Linked DNA regions of Drosophila melanogaster. Changing the gene in region 2 together with the main gene of any one other region gives a genetic interaction. Each region holds a gene or a part of one and is shown on either strand. Other genes may lie near its edges. The genes, in order: sqh and sti.

The links.
Region 1: of sti (region 2) and sqh, changing one suppresses a phenotype caused by changing the other (phenotypic suppression), as found in Drosophila melanogaster (one study listed by BioGRID).

What each region holds. Positions count from the first base shown.
Region 1 is NC_004354.4:6,222,385-6,226,842, forward strand, and holds sqh (spaghetti squash), read right to left. Parts: upstream 2,757-4,458; 5' UTR 2,623-2,756; exon of another isoform or gene 2,313-2,622; intron 2,137-2,312; exon of another isoform or gene 2,027-2,136; intron 1,774-2,026; exon of another isoform or gene 1,733-1,773; 5' UTR 1,621-1,732; coding exon 1,201-1,620; intron 1,128-1,200; coding exon 1,023-1,127; 3' UTR 677-1,022; downstream 1-676. Other genes in the region: Efr (ER GDP-fucose transporter), read left to right, coding at 1-56; dtn (detonator), read left to right, coding at 3,791-3,836, 4,056-4,348, 4,416-4,458. UniProt on the Drosophila melanogaster protein: Required for cytokinesis, could regulate contractile ring function.
Region 2 is NT_037436.4:12,508,607-12,516,738, forward strand, and holds the start of sti (sticky), read right to left. Parts: upstream 6,210-8,132; 5' UTR 6,062-6,209; coding exon 5,776-6,061; intron 5,520-5,775; coding exon 5,275-5,519; intron 5,219-5,274; coding exon 4,856-5,218; intron 4,797-4,855; coding exon 3,429-4,796; intron 3,198-3,428; coding exon 1,695-3,197; intron 1,619-1,694; coding exon 1,423-1,618; intron 1,367-1,422; coding exon 1-1,366. Other genes in the region: tral (trailer hitch), read left to right, coding at 6,846-6,966, 7,953-8,132.

The DNA.
Region 1 (4,458 bases), on a different chromosome or scaffold from region 2:
GGTCGAGCCGGAAGACCCACTTCGACACCGCTCCGCTGGCCAAGAAGGTGGAGTAATCTTCGCGGGCTGTGATGGTTCCTGCTGCAGAGGCCATTAACCATTAACCATTAATTTGTAGTCGTAGCGCCTTGTTTGTACATAGAATTTGCCTAGTGTTTAGACGCCTCTTTGTCTGGTTTGTAATTCTTGTGTCCGTGTCTTTCTAGATTTTCAAATGTTCGTGTTTTCTTTTAAATTAATAGTTGTCCAAAAAGTGTGTAATATACAACGTTGAGTGTTTCGAACATTAAGCCATCTATTTAATTGATTTTTTTTTAAATAAATTCTTGAAAAACATATATTTGCAGAAGCTGAAATATCTTCGAATCAAAAATAATGTGAGATAAGATATGAGTTTGCAAGTTCGAGTCTTTTGGACATGAACTCATTAGTCAGCTTGTCGAAGATTCCAAGAAAATTTTGACTAATTTCCGAAATCTCTTTCAATTTCCCGCCACATTTGAAGCTACATACACTTATCACATCGTGCTAGTGATCATGCTTAATTAGCCATGGGGGGTACATATTCCAAAGTTTCCCTTGTTTGATCAGTTGCTTTTGGCTGAAGGATTTCTGCAGACATCTGTTTGGTTGGACGTGCGCACGTTCTCGAGTGTAAGAAAAACAAAGGTTTATTGCCACATTCTTGTATAAGTATGTATTTGTATATAGGTAATATATATGTATATTCAATGAGTTAATACTTATGAAAGGAGTTTTTCGGGAAATCGTGTTATCTGGCACCAACATCTCACACACTACACTGTCGTACATAACAATCGCTGGTGTTGGCTACTTTTTGTTTAATTCAAATGCACGGATAAGTACAGGATTATCAGGAATCAAAGAACAGAAGGCGCGAAACCAAAAAAAAAAAATATTTATACTTGTATATATTAAATTATCAAAACGAAACTCATGATGGATAGTTTGGACAGGCTGATTGGAGAGGCAGCTGGCTAGTGAATCGACTGCTGGCGATCTTACTGCTCATCCTTGTCCTTGGCACCGTGCTTAAGGATGCGCGTGAATTCGAGGTAGTCGAACAGACCGTTTTTGATGGGCGCCTCCCGATACATCTCGTCCACCTGTGAATGTAAATGGAAAAGAAGTTGTAAGGGCACACTCCGACTTGATATCGTAAACAACTTGACAACATACATCCTCGTCTGTGAACCGATCACCCATGGTGGTCAGCAGCTCCCTCAGGCGATCCTCGGGCAGGACGCCCATATTCTCCTCGTCGAAGCAGCCGAAGGCGTTCTTGATCACATCCTCGGGATCGGTGCCCTGCAGCCGCTCGCCGAAGAGCGTGAGGAACATGGTGAAGTTGATGGGCCCGGGCGCCTCGTTCATCATGCCATCGAGATAGTCGTCCGTTGGGTTCTTGCCCAGCGAGGCCAGCATGTCGTGCAGATCCTCCTTCTCGACGAAGCCATCACGGTTCTGGTCGATCATGTTGAATGCCTCCTTGAACTCGGCAATCTGCGCCTGATCGAACATGGCGAACACATTGGAGGTGGCGCGTTGGGCGCGCTTCTTGGTGGTGGCGCGACGTCCGGCGGTCTTACGGGATGACATGGTTGCTGTTGGATTGGTGGTTCTGATGCGGTTAATGGAGCTAAATGGAGCCGGCCTATGGAGCTGGTGGCACTAGTGCTTCGCGCTGGAGTGATGTGTGTGCGGCGTGGATCTGAAATCGAAAAACGCCGACTCACATTAGCATTTCGTTGGCCGGGTATGTATTTATGGCTATATATAGACATATTGCAGCGAATTCCGCTGAAACCGATTTTCATTGCTCCCCAAACAAACTGTGTCAACATACAGTGGACGCTCGCTACAGTGAGTACACCATGCATATGCTTATCACAACGGAAAGAACATCTTATTGCTGCTCTTTAAGGTTTTTTAAGGAATGAAGGTTTGGCCATTGCCTAAAATGGGCGAACTACAAATTATATTTATAAATAAATAGTTTTAATACAGTTTTAGGCCAGAAAGGATAATGCAAAAGCAGTTCGATGGCTCCATGCTTCCGCTACAGTTACAAGTCCACCTTATCGGGCGCCCACTGTGAGTACGACTCATGCACGCACACATGCGCAGCTCTCTGAGTCACTCGCGCAAACGAAAATGACACGTATGGGAGTTTCGCTCTCGCTCTGCGCCAGTGCGTGCATGTGTATGCGAGTTTATCAATGCTGTTGAACTGCGGTTAACAAAAACAACATCGCACACGTATTTGGCTCATTGAAAACATTCTCACACACACTGGCACACGCATTTCAATTAAAGCCTTAAAAGGCCAGAAAAAAACCGCAGTTGAAGCACCCAAATTCACTCGAGAACTCAAGTTGGGCCAAATGTTTGCGACTTCGTTGATTTATCACTTTCGAATGGACATTTAAATGGAATTATAGCACAAAAACAATTGTTTTCATTTGCGCGCTGCCGACGCTGACTCATACGCATACACTAACACACACGCACACTCACATAGGGCAGCGCCCTTTGGGAGTTCAGTTCGTTTATTTTATCGAATATGATTGCTTGATTACGCCTGATTTGATTCATACTCACAGCTGCCGAATGCCGAGTGTTTAATACTATCGAAGTTTCGTTAATGCAACTTTCGACCAGCTGCACTTTTGTCTTTTATAATTTCGGTTCGACGAGAAGGCCAAGTGTGACCAGCATAGAGGCGGTTTCAATTTATCAGAAAATACCGCAGAATATGCTAAAAATTACTGTGCAAAAGTGCTAATTGTTGGAGCTCCTAAAATAAATAAATATTAAGACTATAAATTATATTATAAAATATAAAATTATATTACAAATGTGAATACTACTGAGACTAGGACCATGGCTATTAGAATCCTAAAAACCTATTGTCAGTTGTGCTACCAGATCTTGTTTTAAAATATTCGTTCCTAAGAAGCTCTTTTCTTGTAGAATCTAAAGTTTCTCAAAAAATTTTCTTAAGCAATCCCAATTAATTTTATTTTTCTTTATTCTTCACTGTCAAACATGGTATTTTTTTTTTTTTGGTATTAACTTTTTGAATTGCCCGCGTTCTGATTGGAGTTTCAGGAGTATGCGCACAGTCTGGCAGCCCCATATTACAGCACTTCCAAATACGGTAGTACCACTATCTTAGGATATTGTTTTCAATACGGTATGGACACACTGCAAAGTGTTTGGAATGTTCGATATTTGTGTAAAATTCTGAGAGACCTGAATGAAAAGAGGCATGCATTAGGGCGTCGAACGAGGGATTTTCCAGCCCAGCAGATCCTTGCCAGCGCGTGAAAAGCGAGTCGAGTGAAAAATCGAATCGATTGGCACGGTTGCGGTCCAATTAATTTCGAACTGAACTGCGCGATTTGCAGGAGAAGATGTGTCTATACCTGCATGTGCATGTGTATCTGTGTGTGAGGTGGCCCACGGCTGTGTGTGTGAGCAGCGTGTGAGTGTGTGTTGGTGTGTGGGTGTGTGGGCACACTGGAAAGAATCAATAAAGGATGTGCTGCGGATTGCTGAGCGAGAAAAAAGGACGAAAAGTGCTAGCCAGCGCGAATTAACGGTTGACTTTTGGCACGATTAACGGAATAACGGTCAAATAAGCCACACAAGCGAGAGAACAGTGAAAATAACGAAAGTGCGGGCACAGTTAATTAGCAAATTAACGAGTGGGTGGGCACAGGATTTCAGGATTTCGATATATTTTGGATTCCTGCACACGAACAAGATGATGAGATACTGCCTCATAATTGCTTTGCAGCTGTCGTTGGCATGTAAGTATCAAATAAAGTTTCCAAACCCAGGGGGGTGGTACAAAAAAAGCGATGGAGTGGGAGGAGGGAGTAAGCCAGTGGGAGGGGGATAAAGGAGGAGTGGGTGACCTCCGGGTTTAAGAAAATCCCCAACCCCTATGTTACCATTACCAAAATTCAACTAATTGACTCCTTCATCTACTCCCAACCCATAACAAATCCATGCCGAATCCTCGCCAGACTCCGTGGAGGTGCACTTCGAGGCGCCGGACAGCGGCTTCTTTCTGAAGCACGCCCGCCAACCACCTGTGACGCCGGAGATCGCCAATGTGCAGACATCCTCGGCGGTGCCGCCGTTACGGCAACGATCCTCCTATGATTCCGTGTTATCTCTGGACAGATTCACTGTGGTCGAGACCACGCAGCCGGTGTCCATACGCGCCAGCTATGGACCGTTTTCCACGAAACAAACGGTGCCAGCCCGCTACATTGTGCCGGACACAATGGACAGCCAGTCGGGCGATTATATGAACGTGAGTTATCCCCAAATCCTGGCAAGCAACAAAAGGACGCCTTGTCATACCACTTTCTCTCCCACAGAATGCCACTCTACTGGAGCTCCAGCAGCCAAATATGCACCTGG
Region 2 (8,132 bases):
TCCGATGCGTTATCCCCGCTGGCCATTTCCTTGCTGAACGACCGATGCAAACGGACTATCTGCACGCTTTGATAGTGCGATATGAATAGGAATGGATCGCGGTAAACAAATCCAGTGGGTGCATAGACCCAGTTCAAATCGTACGGCCTGGATCTGCAGCCAAACTCGTCCACAAAGACGCCATATTCGGCAAAGCAGAGCAGATACTCTTGTCGTGAGATGCGCACCGCAGTTAGGGGCTGGCACTTGGCAGTGCTCTCCATTGACTTATCGGACAGATCCACAAACTCCTCAGCCGCATAGTTGTCCAAATCGATCTCGTAGAACTTATCCGAGCTAACAATGGCCGAGTGACGCGTAAAGAATATGGATGTGACCGGCGTGGCCGTGTCCAAGGCTCGAACTGGCTTAAACATGTGCAGCTTAAGGTCGTACTTCAAGATGACAATCCTAGTGGACGTGGCCGCAATAGCCACCGAATCCAATGCGTTCTCCGCCTCATCGGAGATCAGCACTAGTTTCCATTTCTCCGATGGCGTGCGATTGGCAAATGGCAGCTCAATGGCCGACGTTTCCAGCACAGGCTTGTGACACGAACTGGAGCTCTGACAGCGTGACTCCAGCTGGCGGTAGTCACATTGATATAGCTTCTCGCCAACTGTGCCCACCATTATAGCCTTAGCCAGGCGCTTGCAAATGGACATGCAGCTCACCGATTCGAGACCAGAAATGTGCACCAATCGCTGCGAGTCCAAGTGATACGCATACAGTCCCGTGTTACAGCCCAATAGGAGTATTTGCTGCTCGGCCACTTCAAAGGCGCAGTTCACTTCGATCTCCTTCCGTGCCTGATCTTCTGCACCATCCGAACTGTAGACCAGCGATCCAATGTACTCGCCACCGCTGGTTGTACCACCCGCAACATCTACGCTATCCAAAGTCAAGCTGGAGACAGATTGAATACTGCTAAGATCATCGGCTGACGGTGCAGTCGGCTTGGTGGATCCGCAATGGCTCTGAACATTGGAGCGACACTTGCGATGCGTAACATCTTTGCACTCCTTGCATTTCCAGAACGGCGAACCGGCAACGACGGCCTTTTCGCAAACTACACAGTTGACGGCATCCACCTTGGACTCCTGCAGGGCCAGTTCGAAACGGTGATGAGCCTGGTTCTCAATGGTTACTTTAGTCGGTTTCTCCGCCGTCGTCTTCAGCTCCACCTGGCTGGTGGTGCGCTTCAGGGGCTGCTGCTGCTTCTGTGGAGAACGTGGCAAGGCAGCAATGCTTACGGGTCTCTGTTTGGGTGCATCGGAGTCGCCATTAACAGCTGCAGATTTGCGTGGAGAGCGCAAGGTTGCAGTTCCTAAAGGAAATATACAATTAGATACAAACATCAAGCGAAATCTAAAGAAATCCCACCATTCAACTGAGCCAACTGCTCCTTCAGCAAGCTGTTCATCTTTTGTTCTCGCTTCAGTTCCTCCTTTAGAGCGCGATACAGAATGGAAGATTCCACGTCATTGGGTGACACGTTCTCCTTGTTTGTGTGGCTAGAACCGAAAAGTTTGTCCGCCAATGTCTTTTTCTTCTTGGCGGATAGGTCCTCAACTTTGAGCTAAAATATAAATACAAAAATGTTTTTAATCTCATTAACTATTCTCTTAAAAAGAATATATATAAACTAGCTATACCTGAAGGTAGTCAATCAGCTTTTTGTGCTGCGCAAGTGTGGCATTCGATTTAATGTCCCGCTGCACGTAGAACTGCTCCTTCTCGGCCAAAGTGTCCTGAAGGGAATCGATCTCTGCGTGCAAGTTGGCTTGCGCAGACTCCAAGCCCCTTATCTCCGCCTGAAGATTGCCAACCTCCTCCTTCTTGTGGAACAGCTCGCTGAGAATTCTAGCATTTTCCTCCTTCAAACTAACCATTTCGCGATTCGAATCCGCAGTTTGGGCTTCGTAATTGGCATTTTGCCCATCCAAAAGTTCAGCTCTCTCTTGGGTGGCAAACAGTGCGTTAGTCTGCTCCACCAACTGATCCTGCTGCGCCACCAGCTTCTTCTGCTGCTCCTTGAGATTGAGACGAAGTTCATCGATTTCCGATGCCAACACTTGAGCACGCTGCTCCGCCAGACGCTTTTCCGATTCCACCGTAGTTAGTTGCTTTCGTAGATCAGTTAATTGATCGTTGCGCTCTCTGAGTTTCTCATGAAGGGTATCAAGTTGAGATTTCTGGGATTTATTTCGTTCCTGCTCCGATTTTAGCATGGTCTCCACCTCAGTTAGCTGGCTGTCGGTAATGCTACAAGCGTACTTCAACCTCTGGAAGTTATCGGTGAGTTGTTTCAGCTCCTTCTGTAAGACCAAACAAGAGTCATTCGCTTTCCTGCTCTTTTCTCGCTCCTCCTGCAGTTCTCGAATGGTATTCTTCTGTTCCAAAGTTACACCATCAAATCGCGATTGGATTTGCCTGAGTTTCTGGCGCAATTCCGTCTCCTGTTGTTCTAATCTGTGCACATTGGCCAAGTGCTCGATTATCTCCGACTTGCACTTCATGCGCTCCTGCTCGGCCTTTTCCCATTGGCGGTGCTCCTTGAGGACATCCCTTTTGGCGGCCGCCAGTTCCTGCTTCAGCTCCTCGATGCGAGACTCCCGCTGGCGAGTTTCCTCCTGTGACGTCTTGAGCATTCTCTGCGCTTCATCGCTTGCGTTCTGCACCTTTTTAATCCGATCCTCTGTGAGTTCCATGCGACGCGCCAGTAACTTCTTCTCGGACAAAGCTTCCTCGAGCTGTTTCTCCACCTTCCAGAGCGATAGATTCGCTGTACGCGCTGCCTGACGTTCCACAATCATCTGCTCTCGCACTGCTGCCAATTTATCCTCCAGCTTCTCGTTTTGCCGCTCGAGCATATCACCAACGGTTTCACCTTCTTGCTTACGCGATGAGTGCGATTTCGTGGGTGAAAGACTCTGCTCGTTGAAGCGCTCCAGCATTTGCTCCAGTTTGGTAACCAGCGTCTGCAGTTGATCGGCGCGTCCCTTCTGATGGTTTTCACTCTCTTTGGCGGCTAACAAGTCGGCGCGAAGTTGATCCTCAATGGCATTCAGTTCGGTCAAAGATCCAGGCGCAGTTTCGTAGGGGGAAACCTGGGTGGCTAGTGAGGATTCAGCCAGCTGACAGCGACATTCGGCAAGCTAGTTTAAATTAATTCATAAAGTATATTTACAAATTACATATCTTTAGGTTTCTATATTCATCGATTCAATCGAAAGCTATATGCTTCATTAAAAATCATTAAGACTTTAAGTTTGACACAAAATAAAAACACAAACATTCACAGCCTGCTAAGATTTCTTTTTATATAATTTTTTTTTACTCAATATTGCAGTGATTGAATTAACCAATGCAGATGAATAACCACCTACCTGCAATTCCCTCTCAAGTCGATGACATTCGGCTCTAACTTCTTGAGTTTCATTTTCCTTCAGCTGCAGCTTCGTCTCCAGTTTGACCTTTTCCGCATGAAGCTCATTATTGGAGGCGATCTCCTCGTTCAGACGCCGCAGAATTTCTTCGATATTCCGCTCGGTAGCGTTCTTCGCTTCTTGGGTGGACTTGCTGGAGGATATGGACTCGTCCAGCTCGGTGCGTATTTCCTTTATCTCCATTGTCATGCGGCGGTTTGTATCCTGCGAGTCGCGAACCTTTTTCCGGAGATCTGTTAGCTTTTGCTCATACAATTCGGCCATTTGGCGCCTCTGCTCCTCATGGTTTGTCTCGGACTTGAGATTCTGCTCCTTGATCTGCTGCAGCATATCCTTGTAGTTTTGCAACTTCATGGACAAATGCTTGCACTCTTCGAACTTGGCATTGAACTCCAACTCACGGGCATCTAACTTTTGCAGCGTGGATGCCAGCTCTTGCTTTTTGTCCGCCAATTGTTTCTCATATCGTTGCTCCGAAGCGATCTTGGCTTCTTCGTACTTTTGTCGATTAAGGCGAAGGAGATCGGTGATAGTGGCTTCCTTCTTGGACCACATTTCCTCGTCTATTTTGGCCGAACTTTGGAGTGTCTTAATTTGCGTCTTGCAAGTGGTAAGCTCCATTGTTTTCTCCTTGATAATCTGTTGCAGCTTCTTAATTTCCATTTTAGCATCGGCTACCACCTGAGATTTGTTATCGGTCTTCCTCAGCGATTGCTGAGCCCGCAGAAGATCTTGTTTCAGCATGGAAATCTCGTTCTCTCTAGTCTTCAGTTTCTGCAGCAGTTCCTTTAGCTTCTCCTGAAGCTTTTCATCGGTGGTAGCGGAAATTGCCGACTTTTCCATGTGCACAAAACTGTACCCAATGAATGGCAGATCCTTGCCACTGAAATCATTCGATTTCATGTTAGTCGTAAGGGACTTTTTAGCAACTCCCTGTTCTCTGCGAGTCTTATGACGAATTCCGTCCTCGAAATTGGAGGTATCATCGTCAGACCTAACAGTTGGTATAATCGGTGGAACCTGCGAGCGAATGGAACCCCACGGAATTTCGCTAAAGAAGGGGTGATTCTTAATGCGCTCATAGGACAATCGCTTCGAAGGATTTGTGACCAGTGACTCAATAAGATTTCTATAGTTAACAGACACCTTCAAGTCGGCGGGAAAGCTGATGAGCTCTTTAAGGTGACTCTCCTCGCAATGGGAGAGAATCTTGGAGTATGTCTCGTGTACATTGTCCTCGTGAAAAGGTGTTGTCTCGCATATTAACTCATATCCTATAATGCCCATGGACCAATAATCGCAGCTGACCTACAAAATGAGTTCTTGTTTTAGCTATGAACTTTCCAAACCAAACTCTGCGATCGTACAATTCTACTCACATCGTGCATCGACTTGGACAGCTTGTAGGTGGATATGGTTTGCAGCAGCTCTGGAGCTATGTAATCCGGTGTTCCCACCGGCGACAAACTCAGCACATGGCCATCGCGATCCAAGGCAGCGGCATTACCGAAATCAGCCAGTTTAATATGGCCAAAACGATCAATCAGTATATTTTCAGGCTTTATATCCCGATGCACATAGCCCATCTCGTGCAATGTGTGCAGGGCCACTGTGAGCTCGGCCAGATAGAAACGAGCCAAGTCCTCATCGAAAGGGCCGTGGCGTGACATCAAGCTGAGAAGGTCTCCGCCGGGCATGTACTCCATGACCAGGTACAGATTGTCGTTATCCTAAGTGATAAGTTAATTCAAGTACTGAAATATGCGAAAATGTGGAAATAACAAACCTGAAAGGCATACTGCAGATTGATTAGCCATTCAGAGTTGCGAATGGACATGATATCGCGCTCCTCCTTGACTTGTGACGTCGTCACCACCGACTTTTTGATCTTCTTCATGGCGTATATGTCGTTGGTTTGCCGCTCCACCACCAGGTGAACGTTGCCAAAGTATCCTTGGCCAATAAGCGTCTTGATGAGGAAGTCATCTGCGTTGACCCTGAGTTTGCGGGTCTCCTCTATGATGGGACGAACTGGAGTAGGAAATTAGATAGTAATATAATGGGTAACTAGGCATGAGCTCTATTTTCAAGGAGGGAAACCGGAACATACAGGTAAATCTATAAGAGATTCTACTCCCAATAATTTTGTGGGCTTTAATAATGGAATATGATTAGCAAAAGTAGATTCTCTGACCCGAGGAAGTAAAAATGTGGCTTCTGAGTTCCATTTCTATAGAATGGTAGATACTCCATCCGAAAACCCTGCTGACCAATGCAGTTGACTCACATTTGTTGACAAACTCGGCGATGTTGCGATCGCGCTTCTTCAGCGTATCCTTGTCGCACTCGTTGTACAGCAGACAGAAGGCGTCCAGGAGTCCCTCGCGGCAGATGGCCTCGGCCACGGCGGCGCTAGTGGTGCTCACGGGTACAATGCTTCTCCTGGTGGAGGCGGGAATACCTGATCCGGAGGCGCTTCCAGCGGGCTTCGCACAGACGCCAGCTCCTTTGCCCAGAATCAGGTTGTTCAGACGCGCGGTGCGCACGCTAATCGGCTCCATCTTGGGTGGCATGATGGACTCACTTTTATTTGCAATTTTCTCACATAAATAATACAATTAGAAATCCGTAAAATGCCAGAGCATTTTTCTGCCGTTTCGCTTTGAAAAAAATGCGCCGAGGGAAGCCGAAGAGCCAGGGATGCGTGCTCACTTTCCAGAGTTGTATTTAGGGTTGCAAGTAGGGCTGCCCTGTGAAAGAGGATAAAATTTGAATTTTAATGCAAACAGAGAACGGATAAATAATGAAATAGTCTTATTTACTTTTGGCAACCTTTTGAAGCGTCCCCTTTTATATTTTGCACAGTTTTGCACATAAACAGTTATTATTATTATTTCGCTGCCGCCGCCGCTGCTATACAACCGCGCTTTCCAACACCGTCGAGGCTCTCGCTCGTATGCATCGTTCATTTTCGACGGGTAGGTTTTCGCAGACGGACGGAGCAAAGATTTGTGCATCGAAAATTGCAATTTTCACATTTGGAGCCGTGTGTGCAGCATCACAGACATTGGAAAAGCGCTTGTCGCACTTGTGCAAAAACACAGCTTGATAAAGCAAACGCGGCTAGAAGGCGATTGGCCGCAAATTCGCCCTGGAACTGGAACGCAATTGCGTGTGAAAAAAAGACGGAAAAAAAGTAAAAGAGCAGAGACTGAAACCGTCGAGAAATCGTTGTCGTCGCGCTCGCTATAATTGTTTGCTTTTGACAGAGAAATTCGTGTGCCTGTTGGCAGAAACATTTAATAATAGTTTGTATTTTCGGCGTGAGTGCGCAGTGAAGCATCGAAGTAGTTCAAGATGAGCGGGGGATTACCGGAGTTGGGCTCCAAAATCAGCCTCATTTCCAAGGCGGACATTCGATACGAGGGCCGCCTGTACACGGTGGATCCGCAGGAGTGCACCATTGCGCTCTCGAGTGGTAAGTATTTAATACGAAAATCGCCCACGTCGCCCATATATGTACATATACGGGATATACATATGTGGGTGCCGTAATCTGCGCCAAAAAAAAAGAAAAAAAAAATCGTGTAAAAAAACGGTTCATCGCAAAAGAAAATGGATTCTGTCCATTTCTCTTGTGTTGGTGGCTCTACTCTTTCTTTCCTTTTGGTTCGTTTCTTTTTGTTAGTTTTTACAGTAATTTCATACTCGTGGAGACGGTGAGTGCAATTGCCGCCACCGCTCTCTCCATTACCCATTTCGACAGCCGTCTCTCGCTCTCCCACTTATGCTTTTTGTTTGTCATGTTGGCTTTGGCCTGTTTTTGTCTTTGGTTGTTGTTGTACAGTGTTGCTTTTGCAATTTACTTGGCACACATACACCCGCGCACAAAGTAACGAGCACCAGCAAGGCCCCAATGCAATTTGTTTATTTGCAAATACAATTTCGATTTGGCGCCAGATAACGGGATCCAAGGGCTCCCGTTACGGATGTCAGTGCCCTGGAAGTCGAAAAGGAGGAACGGAGAGCGGAGAAATACCGGCAAAACATGCGTTCCCCAGTTGAGGTTAAATTGGAAGCGCGGCCTAACCTTAATGGGTTTACAAGTTTGCCGCAATCCAAGTAATTCGTCTTTTGAACAATTGCATTATATAATGCGGTGCATTCATTTTAAAACAATTGGAATATAAACTTGAAAGATGTGGGCTCGGAAAGTTCCACTTATTAGATGGAGCACTTTTAAAAACCGACTTAGAATACCGGTTAAGCAAAAAAGGTAGCTTATTTGCAATGGAAAAATTTAAAAATTTAAAAGTTTAGTTTTGTGAAAGATCTTTCTTAAAGCAATGGAATAAAAATGGCGGCTGGGATAAGAAAACTTTACGGAAAAAATGTTCACTATTGTACTCTTTATACGATTTAATATTATAACTCAATTCATTTTAACCCTCTTTTCTTTTTCAGTGCGATCCTTCGGTACAGAAGATCGGGACACCCAGTTCCAGATAGCGCCGCAATCGCAGATCTACGACTACATCCTATTCCGTGGCTCGGACATCAAGGACATTCGCGTTGTCAACAACCACACGCTGCCGCACCACAATGACCCGGCGATCATGCAGGCGCAGCTCCAGAACGGACCGC